Linked DNA regions of Canis lupus familiaris. The protein of the gene in region 3 interacts with the protein of the main gene of each other region in a biochemical or structural test. Links are inferred from orthologs where the notes say so. Each region holds a gene or a part of one and is shown on either strand. Other genes may lie near its edges.

Region 1 (3,649 bases), on a different chromosome or scaffold from region 3:
AGACAGGTTTTATCACTTTCACTTGGGCCATAAAGAAAACACCAGATATTCCTGGGTTGGCCCAGAGCTTCTCGCCATGGGAAGCATTCAACTCATGAGCATGGCCTTTCACCTCTTTTCTACAGAAGAAATGGCAACCTACCTGCGATATGTCAGGCGATTAGACTTCTTTGAAAAGCCTGACTATGAGTATTTACGGACCCTCTTCACAGACCTCTTTGAAAGGAAAGGCTACACGTTTGACTATGCCTACGATTGGGTTGGAAGGCCCATTGTAAGTATCCTGTTTTACCTCCTCACTTTAAACCAGTGCTACCTCACCACTTGACTTGCCAGACTTTCTGCTTGAGTCTGTAGAAAAAACATTCCTTTGACTGTAGACTTTACATTTGCCAACCTTTTCAGGGTGATTGCCATAGGTTGCAATTACTAGAGTTAGGAAATAAGAGCAACTCCTTTATATGTTTTTAAGATTATGACCAGTATGTCCTAAGATAGCAGAACTTAAGCCAATTCTTAAGAAGAAATTTAATTTGAATGATCCAGAAACTGGTGCTACATAAGCTGATAAGGTACTTGACTTCTACAGAGTAGATAGAACCCAGCCCCATAAGAAACTTTCGAATTGGCTCTTTTGGCCAGGGGTCCACAGTGCCTAAGAGCATGCTAACACATCACTGTAGAATGTTTTTCTTATTTTCCACGGTAAGCTACTCTCCAGTGAGCTCTTGAGGACCAGGCGGCCTCCCTTTTGCAGATAAACAAAAGACAAGAAAAGTGGAAACTGTCCTTGGTGGCTGAAAATAATAATCACTAGTGTTTTATTACAATTAGAATGATGCTCTCCTTTGTGGAGGCATTAAGTTGGCCCATTTTCCATCTGATGTTTTGTTCTGTCTTTCCAGCCTACGCCAGTAGGGTCAGTTCATGTAGATTCTGGTGCGTCTGCAATAACACGAGAAAGCCACACCCACAGGGACCGGCCATCACAACAACAGCCTCTCCGAAATCAGGTACGTGCTGGGCCTTCGTTATTTCAGACATTCTTCCTCTTCGTGGATAATACAAACACTGAAAGTCTTCAGCTTCTCTGCTTCAGTGTATACATTGAAATTAAAGACAAAGAACTTGCCATCTCTCAGTGGTGTGTTGCGGCCCTCCAGCATCCCTCAGGGCTTTGTAATGCTGCTGAGATGCAGCTGGGTGACCTACATCAAGTATCCAGTCGAGAGAATTTAGGCTTGTCCAAGTCTGTTGGCTGAAAAAAAAGTCTGCCACAGCCTTGAAAGACCTGCTGAACATACAGGATGAACAGAGAAGCCTATTTTGAGCCTCATCTGCAGTCCAGTGTGTCAATCTTGCCAATGCTGAGGGTTTTGTTGTTGTTGTTTGGCTGGTTATGAAGAGTGGGTAAGGGATGCCTGGGTGGCAGTTCCCTCAGCAGTTCAGCGCTTGCCTTCGGCCCAGGGCGTGATCCTGAATACTGGGGATCGAGTCCCACATAGGGCTCCCTGTATGGAGCCTGCTTCTCTCTCTGCCTATGTCTCTGCCTCTGTGTGTGTGTGTGTGTGTGTGTGTGTGTGTGTCTGTCTCAAATAAATAAATAAATAAACAAAAAATATATAAATATAATTTTAAAAATTTTATAAGAAAAGAAGAGTAGGTAATTTAGACTTCAGCTGACGTAGGCATAAACTGGCACCTCTCTTCCCCCTTTTGCCCCTGTTCCCAGGTTAATTCTAGAACTTGCCAATATCTGAGATGGTGTAGTGAAGACTCAGCTTTGCTTTAGGCCACTCCAGAGAAGGCCATGTCATCAGTCCTTCAGTGTTCATAGTTTGAAAAACTAGTGGTCAGTGTGAGAGGCTTCCCTCAGCCTAAAGACAGGAGAGGCAAACACACAAAAATCGACAAATCTGACAACATTTAAAGAAAGGGGTCACTGATTGGGAAGTAAAATGACGACTTTCATCTTTATATCATATATAATTGACCCTTGAACAACACAGGTTTGAGAGGTGTGGGTCTACTTATATGTGGATTTTTTCAATAAATATAGTACAATACTGTAAATGTTTTCTTTCTTGATTTTCCTAGTAACATTTTTTTCTAGCTTTATTGTAAGTACAGTATATAGTATGTTAGCCTTATTGTAAGTACATGTAACATACAAAATATGTGTTTATTGACTGTTTATATTACTGGTAAGGATTCTGGTCACCAATAGGCTATTAGTAGTTAAATTTGGGGGGAGTCAAAAGTTATATGGGGGTTTTTGACTTCATGGTGGCCAATGCACCTAACCTCAATGTTGTTCAAGAGTCAACTGCACATTGCTAAGAGAAAACTGAGGACCCTAGTAGATAAATAAACAAAGGATAATAAACAGATACACATGCGCGCACAGACACACACACACAGTCATTATCACCTATCAAATTAGCTTGTTGTCCTCACCCCTGACCTCATTTTTTAATATTCACAAATATTTTTATAATAAAATGCAAAAACATTTATCTCAGATGTACATATGAAACCACATAGCACATAGAAATACATACACATATAGGTAAAGTGAAGTATATACAAATAACAGATAGACTCACCATAAGTATATACTTGTAGCAAAATGGCTTGGTAAGAAAAAAAAGTATAAAGGAAGGAAATCTATGTATTAGTAGCTAAAAGAAAGAGTAGATAGGCAAAAAGGTAGGGGTTAGCAAATCATGTACACTAATTGGGTCCATAGTTATACGCTTTAATCAAAGTAGTTGGCTAAGAATTATGATTTGACTGACCTCTGATTTGACAACAGAGTACTGTTGACTTCTGCAGTTTTTCTCTTTTGCCTTCCCTTGTTAAAAGTATAGCTGAGTGCATAAACTGCCACTCTCATACATTGCTCTGGACTCTGCAAATTGTTACAAATTTTCCAGAAGGTAATTGGATGAAGTTACTGTTCTTTCGGATAGAAAAATCTTAGTATTTTGAATCAATCATAATAAAACAACCCAAGATCTAGATTAAGTTATGTGCATAAAATTGTTGCAGTGTGATTTGAAACAGATTTAGAAACGATCCATCTATCTAATCCTAAAGGAAGTGTTATGGATCCTGTTCAAATCTTTTATTGAATAAACTGGGCTATAATAAAGTGAGTTACAGTGTACTTATTCAGTGGAATATTATGTAGCCATTTAAAATAATATTTGGAAAACTTGTGGCAACTGAAAATGTTTATGGTTTGTAGAATGAAGAAATCAGATTGCAAAATTAGAAATACATCTTGTTTCCCCTCAGGGGAAGGGAAAACGAAAAAAATCAGCGAGAGGAGATAATGCCAATTTATTAACAGAAATAGTGTTGCAACTGATAATATTGTGGATAATATTTTTCCAAACTATTCTGTGATGAGGTTATATTCCTTATGATGAAAGGTACATTTAAATAGAAAATATATGGAAAGAAAAAAATAATTTAAGTAGTCAGTGAAGTCAGCATATCTGCCCACTCAAGTTTTCAGAATATTTCAAACTAAAATAGGTATTTATTTCCTTTAGTTTCGCTTGTCATTTCTGCCTCAGTGAATTCTTAATCAACGTTGCTGTTTTGAATAGATTTTAAAAGCAGGAGGGAAAAAAAGTAGGAG
Region 2 (4,166 bases), on a different chromosome or scaffold from region 3:
AACTGACAAATTATGGCACATGCACGTGGCAGAATACTATGCTGCCCCTAAAAAGTTTTTCTGGAAAAATAACCCACAGTGTTAATGCCCGAAATGTGAAAATGAGTTGCAAACAGCATAGAAGGAAAGCACTCACAATCTCTACAAAAGAGACAAAACAGATTGGCCAGAACATTGAATGCTAACACTGGTTACCTGTGGATGGGAGAAGTATGGGCGCCGATTATTTTTCTGATTACACTTTTCTAAATTTTCCACACTTCTAACAGTAAATGTGCATTTCACAATCGGGTCCAAGAAAAACATGAGTTAATATATCGGGTGCAATAAAACCACGAGTTAATAACCCGTTTCTGCAGCTCTGGAGCAAACCTCAAGACCACACAGCTGAGACCATCTCCTGATTAAACATCTTTAAACAACGCTGCACTCCTTTCAGGGCAGTGGACGCCCTACAGTGTGTCAAGAGAAGAGGCTCTGAGGTCATCGCGACGGCGACCCAGGCGGGGGCGTATCCCTGCCACCACCGCCGCCGCCTCCTCCTCCTCCTCCTCCGGGTCCCCCGGTGGTACCCACCTCACCCCGTTGGGCCTCTTCCTCAAGTTTTGCACCTCGCGAGTCTCTTCCAGTTTTAATCTGAAAAAAGGCAACGCACAGACTTAGAGACCCTCGGCGGAACCCAGCCTTAAAAGGCGGCTTCGACGGGTGCCCGGCCCAGATGCCGAACGGCCGGCACAATGGTCCAGGAGACGACCCCGCGCTTAGAACCACTGGGTGTCAGATCCACTGTGCATCCTGGGGACACCTCTCCCAACCGTGCGGCCTTGCGGCGGGGGCCTCAACCCTAGGAGCCTCAGTTTTTTTGTCTGCAGAAAGGGACAACAATCTCGGCTCACAAAGAGGCGCCTCGCGGGGGCGGAGTCCCACGGGCGGCTCTCTCTTCTTGCCCCTTGAAAGCCCCATCCCAAACGCACCGAACCTCCTCTGAGTCCTGCTCATCTTCCTCCGACTCCGAGTCGGCCCGGCGCCGGCGGAAACTCTTGCCGGTGACCGGCATGGTAGCGCCGGCCCCGCGGTCCCGCCGCCGCGCCCCTGTGCCCGGGCCGGGGCTGCTTCCGGCGCGTAGCAGTGCGGTCAGAGCGCAGCGAGCCCAGCGCCGGCCCCGCCCGGCCCCGCCCCACGCTCGTCTGGCCCCGCCCCCGGCCCACACTGCCCGCCGGCCCCGCCCCCAGCCGTGGCGTCCGCCTCTCCGATTGGGCGGCCGAGGGGCAGGAGGCGGGGCGCGGTCCGCGGGTCCCACGGCCCTGCGCCCTGCGGCTGTGGGTGCGCTTAACTGACAGGCGGCGGCGGCGCGGTTGCGACGGCAGGTGAGTTCCGGGCCGCAGCCGGCTGCTTCGGGGGCCGGGCCTCTCCCGGCAGGGGCCCCCCTGGCCTGGCTGCGGGCCGGATGGGGCCTGGCCCTGCCGGGTGCGCAGGACGCCGCTGCCCGGTGAGCGGAGCCCGGGACCCCCGGCCGCTGCCGCCCTCTCCCCTCCTCCGGCGGCGCCGGGGGGTGCCCTCGGGGCCCCGATGCCCCACTTGCAACCCTGGGGGGCTCGTTGCTGCTCCGGAACTGGGGGCCGCCATCTCCTATTTCTGCGGCGCCCGACCCAGCACGAGTTGAAAGCGCGAGTGCGGCGTCTGGGGGCGCTGACTTATTCCCCCAGGGTCTGGGCCTTGACGTGCATTTTTTTTCTTTAGGGATAAAAGATGACCGCCTCTTAGCAATGGTAGATTAAGGTCCTGGCGCCGACTGCCCCGCTAGTGGGGGCCTCCAGCCACTTCATCCCTGCGTCCGAGGTTTCGAACCCACTCCGGGGGGTTTGAGGGCAGAGAGAGGGCCCTTTGTCGTGTGCTTGCCGGCCGCCTCCCCGGACCTGCAGGGGCCTTGTTTTCGTCCTTTGTCACGACGACTGTCGCCCTGCCCTCCGCCTTTCCACCCCGAGGATGCTGTGAGGATTACGTTTATTTGAAAAGAAACAGGCAAACAGGCATCAACGAACCGCTTAGGAGATAACTAAATGTATCGAGGATGGCTTACAGGACTTCTAGAAACCTCTTAAATAGTTTTCCCTTTCTCAGTATAGGCCGGTCCTTTACCCCGAAAGCACTGCCTCTTACTAAGCACTGCTGTGTGGCAGGCACCGGGCTAAGCATCGTCTCTGTGAACTCCCACAATCCTATGAAGTAGATCGAGTTATTTTTCATTTCGCAAGCGAGGAGACTTTGGCTCAGAAAGGCAATAGGTGCCTAAGGTTACCCAGCGCGAAGGTGGAACAGGGATCAGTGGCAGGCCCACCTCTGCTGCAGGTTGTGCACAGTAGAAGCTCAGTAAATGTTTGCTGTAGCTGTTGTGATGGTTGGTTGGGGGGAGGCGCTGATGGAGACTGTTTTGGTTTCCTCTTCTGGAAGACCATTCAGAAGCAGGGCAGCACTTCTGGAATGCCTTCCTTTTCTCTGGAACAGTCTCTCGAGATTGCTGCTCTTTTTCCTTGGACCGAGACAGATGGACTCAGGACTTCTTGGAACAGCTTTTTGGCTTTGGTCAAAAGCCATATATTAAAATCTCAAAGTCTTGCCTTCTGCAGTCTGGTTCATCGAGCCCCAGATGCACCTGGGAATCACTGGACACCCTGTCCCTGCTGGCTGAAGGGGAGGCTCCCTGGGCACTGCTGCGGGAACCCAGGGAGTTCCATGTCTGCAGACGTCACGCTTTTCAGAGGTGGCTCTGATTTTGCCCACCCAGCAACCCTCCTACTAGGAGGTATTGGACAGCACTAAGGAGAGGGCCAGAAGGCCAAGGACATTTCTAGACCCCTCTTCTCTTCTGACATCCCAGGCAGGAGCACCTGGTACCAATGAGCTGTCCCTGCTTGGCAGGGCCAGAGTGCCCCGTGCTACTCCCCTCCTGGGTTGTGGCAGGTCTGAGATCTGTTTAGCAAAAGCAGTGCTTGGAAAGTGGCAGTTGTGAATCTGGCAGTGGGTGGCTGGGCAAAGGGGCTGCAGACTCTTTAAGTGTTGCTGGGCCTTTTTGGGGGGTGAGATGAAAGTGCTTCTCAGAGGGAGCCTCCAGGAAATTTGGGTTCTCTTTAGAGATGTGTCATGTTTTGGTTTTGACAGTGGTGGTTTAAGGAAATGTATGGGTTTGGCTCATTTTGGGTTGGTTTGCTAGCAGCTCCTTTCTGGAGTCAGACTTGTTTCAGGGTTCAGTGAACATTAATGTCTAGGTAGATTTGGGATGAAGCAAAGCCATTGCAGTTCACAGCCTGGCTGCAGTAAGTGTTCAATAAAATTTTGTTGGACTAATTTATTTATTCAGGTATTTCCTGAGCTTTTACTATATGAAGCAGGCACTGTTCTAGGTGCTTGAAGTATGCCAGGGAACAAAAGAGATGAAAGATCCCTGATCTAGTGGACTTTAGGTTGTTGTTGTTGTTGTTGTTGTTGTTTTAAGATTTTATTTATTTGAGAGAGGGAAAATGAGAGCATGAGGAAGGAGGGGATAATGGGGAGGAGTAGAGGAAGAGGGACAAGAGGACTCCACACTGAGGGCGGGGCTCTCTATCCCACGACCCTGAGATCATGACCTGAGCAGAAATCAAGAGTCAGACGCCCAACCAACTGAGCCACCCAGGCACCATGGACGTTAGGTTCTAATAACATAAGTATGTAAAGTATATTAGCGGGTGATGACTGGTATGGAAATAGAGTGAGGTGAGGGAATCACGAATAGGAGGTGGGACCGAATTGCAAATTTAAATTGATATATTCTCATTTGTGGTTAGGTCGGTAACATGATATAACAGTAGAGTGAATTCTAGGTCCTGACTCTCAGTTCAAGCCCCAGCTCTGCCAATTTACCATGTGACTCTGGGCATGACCCTTCCCTTCTCTGAGCCTCTTTCCCCACTGGAGTCCCTGTTCTGCCATTTGCTGTCTATGAGACTTTTGGCATGAACCCCTCTGCGCCTCTCCTGCTTTGCGGTTTCAGGGTTTTTCAGTCTATATTTCTGCTTTTACTTGAGCACTCCAGGGTTTGTGGCTTCTCAGTGGCCAGGGACCAGTCACTGCTTCCAGCCTACTAACCCCACAAAACTGCCAGCCTGAGGTGGCCCCAAACCCATGCC
Region 3 (3,649 bases):
ATTTATGATAGTCACAGAGAGAGAGAGAGAGAGAGAGGCAGAGACACAGGCAGAGGGAGAAGCAGGCTCCATGCACCGGGAGCCCGACGTGGGATTCGATCCCGGGTCTCCAGGATCGTGCCCTGGGCCAAAGGCAGGCGCCAAACCGCTGCGCCATCCAGGGATCCCTCTTTGAACCATTGTATTGGTGTTTTCCTTACTTGAGTCTTATGGTCCTATGATGATTTGTGAATCATTAGATATTTAGAGCTTTTTGTCATCAGCTGGTTAATGCAAAGTGTGTTCTCATTTTCTAGGTTCACCTAGAAATCAGTGATCCAAAGCTCATTTCACAGGAAGGAGCCAATAGTCCTTCAGACAGTGGACAAGGCAGCTGTGAAACAATTGTGCCCTTGAGTGATGGAGGTTTGTAATAGTGATTTTATTTTTAAGAATAGAATGTAGGAGCTTGGGTTGTAAGTGGACTGGATTAATTTCATTATCCTTTTGTTTCGTTAAATTATTCTTAACCGTATTATTTGTCTTATTATATAAACAAAATAATAGTGCTTGTAGCCTTTTGACATTAGCTATTTCTATTATGTTATTAAATGTATAAAATGTCTAGAAGCTACCACATTGCCTTGTTGCATGCATTCATCCTTTAATAAAAGGATTTTTAACATCTGCCAGAAGAATTAGAACAACTTTACACTTTGTAAATATATATAATTACATTTCTCAGTAAGAGACATTTTTCCAGGGAAAATGTTTTTCAAAACCTATTTTTAGATTTGCTTTGCTACAATCAGTTCTTAGTGGTAGCTACATAATTTCACGAGGTGACATAGCACTTGAATAATTGGATATTTTTGAAGACCAGTGGGACTAGGAGGAGGGCCGAATGACAGTAGACCTCTAAAAAAAATTGTTTCCTCCAGATTCAGATGAAGAGATATTCACGAGTAAGAAATTGAAAAGCAAGAAGGTGCTACAAGACAGTGATTCTGAGAGAGAGGACACAAATGCCTCCCCAGAGCAAACTCCCTATGACAGTGTTGAGGAGGAAAATAAAGAGAACTTATATGCCGGAAAAAATGGAAAAGTCAGAAGGATTTACAAAACTCTGGCAGACAGTGCTGAAAGTGACATCGAGGAGTCTTTGTATCAGGAAAACCTTGAAACCCAGGTGATGCCTTGCTTAGAGCGGAGTCTCCAATCTGAAAACTCTGTGGACTTCACAGTCGACAGAAAGATTTCCAAAAAACCCAAACGTGATAAAGAAGGAATTGGAGGAAAAGCAAAAGTAAAATCAAAGAGAAGACTTGAGAAAGAGGAAAAAAAGATGGAAAAAATCAGGCGGCTAAAAAAGAAGGAAACGAAAAGTGAGGTATGTTTAAAAGAACAAATTTGTTCTTTCTAAGGTGGATGAACTTAACATCTTAGAGCAAGTTGCTTTTAGTTCTTGAGGTTTCTGCACGCAGAATATAGCTTCGAGTTGATTGTTTTGCGTTGCAAGTATTGAGATAATGGAATTTAAAACTTGCTGGTCTCATTCTCCATTTTAGATAAATAGGGGACACTTCCAAATAAAGTAGATTTCTGATTTTCTTTGCAAGCGTATGGAATAACTGCTGCTTCTGATTTGATGAAAATTAACTTTCAGAGGAGAATTTTTTAGGCATCCATACGTCAAGTCTGGTTTGCTGACTAGAGAAACCATCTTCAAGTTTTATAAAGTAGTTGCTTAATAAGTATTTAATTGATTTTGCAAAAAATATATATACTGTTTATTAAGTTGGTTTTGGGCAGTAAAATCACAGCATGGACCTCAAAGGATGACTGTGGGTAGGGGCCCAGGAGACTGTTCTAAAATGCCATATATTTGTCTGTTGATGTACTATGTATGGGCTTTTCATTGCCTGATCCAAATTAGCTTATTATATTGTGGAATATTGGAGTTTGAGTGATTGGATTTAGCTTTTTTCTTTATGTGTTATCCAGGAAGATGATGTGAAACAGCCATTTAATGATAGTGGCTGTCTTCTCGTGGATAAAGACCTTTTTGAAACTGGGTTGGAGGAGGAGGAAACTAACTCTGCATTGGAAGACGAAGAGTCTTTGGAATCGATAAGGGCAGCTGTGAAAAACAAAGTAAAAAAGCACAAGGCAAGTAAAAGATGATTGCGTAAGAGCTAACCCACTGCTTCTAACCTTTGCTTTATTTTCTGATTTACTGTTGGAAGTTTTTTTTTTTTTTAACTGAAGAAAAACATGTGGCAATTGATTTAAGTTTTCTGGCTGTTAATTTTGGAATCAGGCAGTACAAGTGATAGATGTGCTAACTTGTGTGGAAGCTAGTATTTTGAGTACCCTCATAGGATGTCAGGGGGAAAAAAGTGAGCCTTTATATTGTATAAGAAACAGGTATGAATGGGGCAGAGATACAAGTTTTATTTTCCTGTGGCCTCTAAGAAATGAACCTAAAGTGTTTCTGGTGGGGCGTCTGGGTGGTTCAGTCGGTTAACTGCCTGCCTTTGGCTTAGGTCATCTCAGAGTCCTGGGATCCAGTCCCGCATGGTCCTCCCTGCTCAGTGGGGAGTCTGCTTCTCCCTTTCCCTCTGCCTCTCCCCTTGCTTGTGCACACATGTTCTCTCTCGTGTGCTCAAATAAATAAAATCTTAAAAAAAAAAAAAAGTGTTTCTGGGAAGGTATCAGTAGTGAAACATCATTGTCCTGAGTGTTTGGAAGTGCAATTATTCTTGCTAAGATTATCTTTAGCTCCTTGGGAGTTATTGGGAAAGATAATAAAGGCGTGTAAGAAATGAGAGCTCAAGCTCCATTTGAGGCAGCAAAGTTTTTTCTAAGCTTTTTTTTTTTCTAAGCTTTATAGAGATGCTATACGTTTATTTTTTTAAACATTTTTAAATATGGGGATCCCTGGGTGGTGCAGCGGTTTGGCGCCTGCCTTTGGCCCAGGGCGCTATCCCGGAGACCTGGTATCGAGTCCCACATCGGGCTCCCGGCATGGAGCCTGCTTCTCCCTCTGCTTGTGTCTCTGCCTCTCTCTCTCTGTGTCTATCGTAAATAAATAAATAAATAAATAAGTAAATAAATAAATAAATTTATTTAAATATGTCTCGAGAGAAGCAGAGACACAGGCAGAGGGAGAAGCAGGCTCCCTGTGGAGAGCCTGATGTGGGACTTGATCCCAGGACCTCAGGATCACAACCTGAGCTAATGGCAGATGCTCAACCACTGAGCCATCTAGGTAACCCGGGATGCTATATGTTTAAAACTTTATATTTAATAATTATTGACTTGTTATTAATGTAGCATGATGTGATGTTGGGATACAAAAGCAATCTTTTGAGTAGGCAATTTCCTCTTATTTCAGCTTAATTCTTTTTTAATAATGTTTTTAAAGATTTATTTCCTTGAGAGAGCGAGCGAGTAGGGGGAGGGACAGAGAGAGAATGCCAAGCAGACTCCCTGCTCAACACAGAGCCCCACAAAGGCTGAATCCCATAACCCACGAGATCATGACCTGAGCTAAAATCATGACTTGGTCGCTTAACCGACTGAGCCACCCAGGCGCCCCTTAGGTTTAATTTTTGTCCATATTTTTCAGCTTGTAATCTTCTCTTTTAGGAAAAGGAACTGTCTTTGG

The links.
Region 1: of the proteins of CLSPN (region 3) and CSNK1G1, one has a biochemical effect on the other in vitro, tested with the Homo sapiens proteins (2 studies listed by BioGRID). The link is inferred for Canis lupus familiaris from reciprocal best matches to the Homo sapiens genes CLSPN and CSNK1G1.
Region 2: of the proteins of CLSPN (region 3) and USP20, one has a biochemical effect on the other in vitro, tested with the Homo sapiens proteins (2 studies listed by BioGRID, with this or other methods). The link is inferred for Canis lupus familiaris from reciprocal best matches to the Homo sapiens genes CLSPN and USP20.

The regions. Positions count from the first base shown.
Region 1 is NC_049251.1:29,107,702-29,111,350, reverse strand, and holds part of CSNK1G1 (casein kinase I), read left to right. Parts: coding exon 1-274; intron 275-905; coding exon 906-1,013; intron 1,014-3,649.
Region 2 is NC_049230.1:54,096,529-54,100,694, reverse strand, and holds the start of USP20 (ubiquitin carboxyl-terminal hydrolase 20), read left to right. Parts: upstream 1-1,245; 5' UTR 1,246-1,367; exon of another isoform or gene 1,368-1,489; intron 1,490-4,166. Other genes in the region: C9H9orf78 (telomere length and silencing protein 1 homolog), read right to left, coding at 577-636, 975-1,057.
Region 3 is NC_049236.1:6,475,369-6,479,017, forward strand, and holds part of CLSPN (claspin), read left to right. Parts: intron 1-296; coding exon 297-405; intron 406-920; coding exon 921-1,369; intron 1,370-1,983; coding exon 1,984-2,148; intron 2,149-3,630; coding exon 3,631-3,649.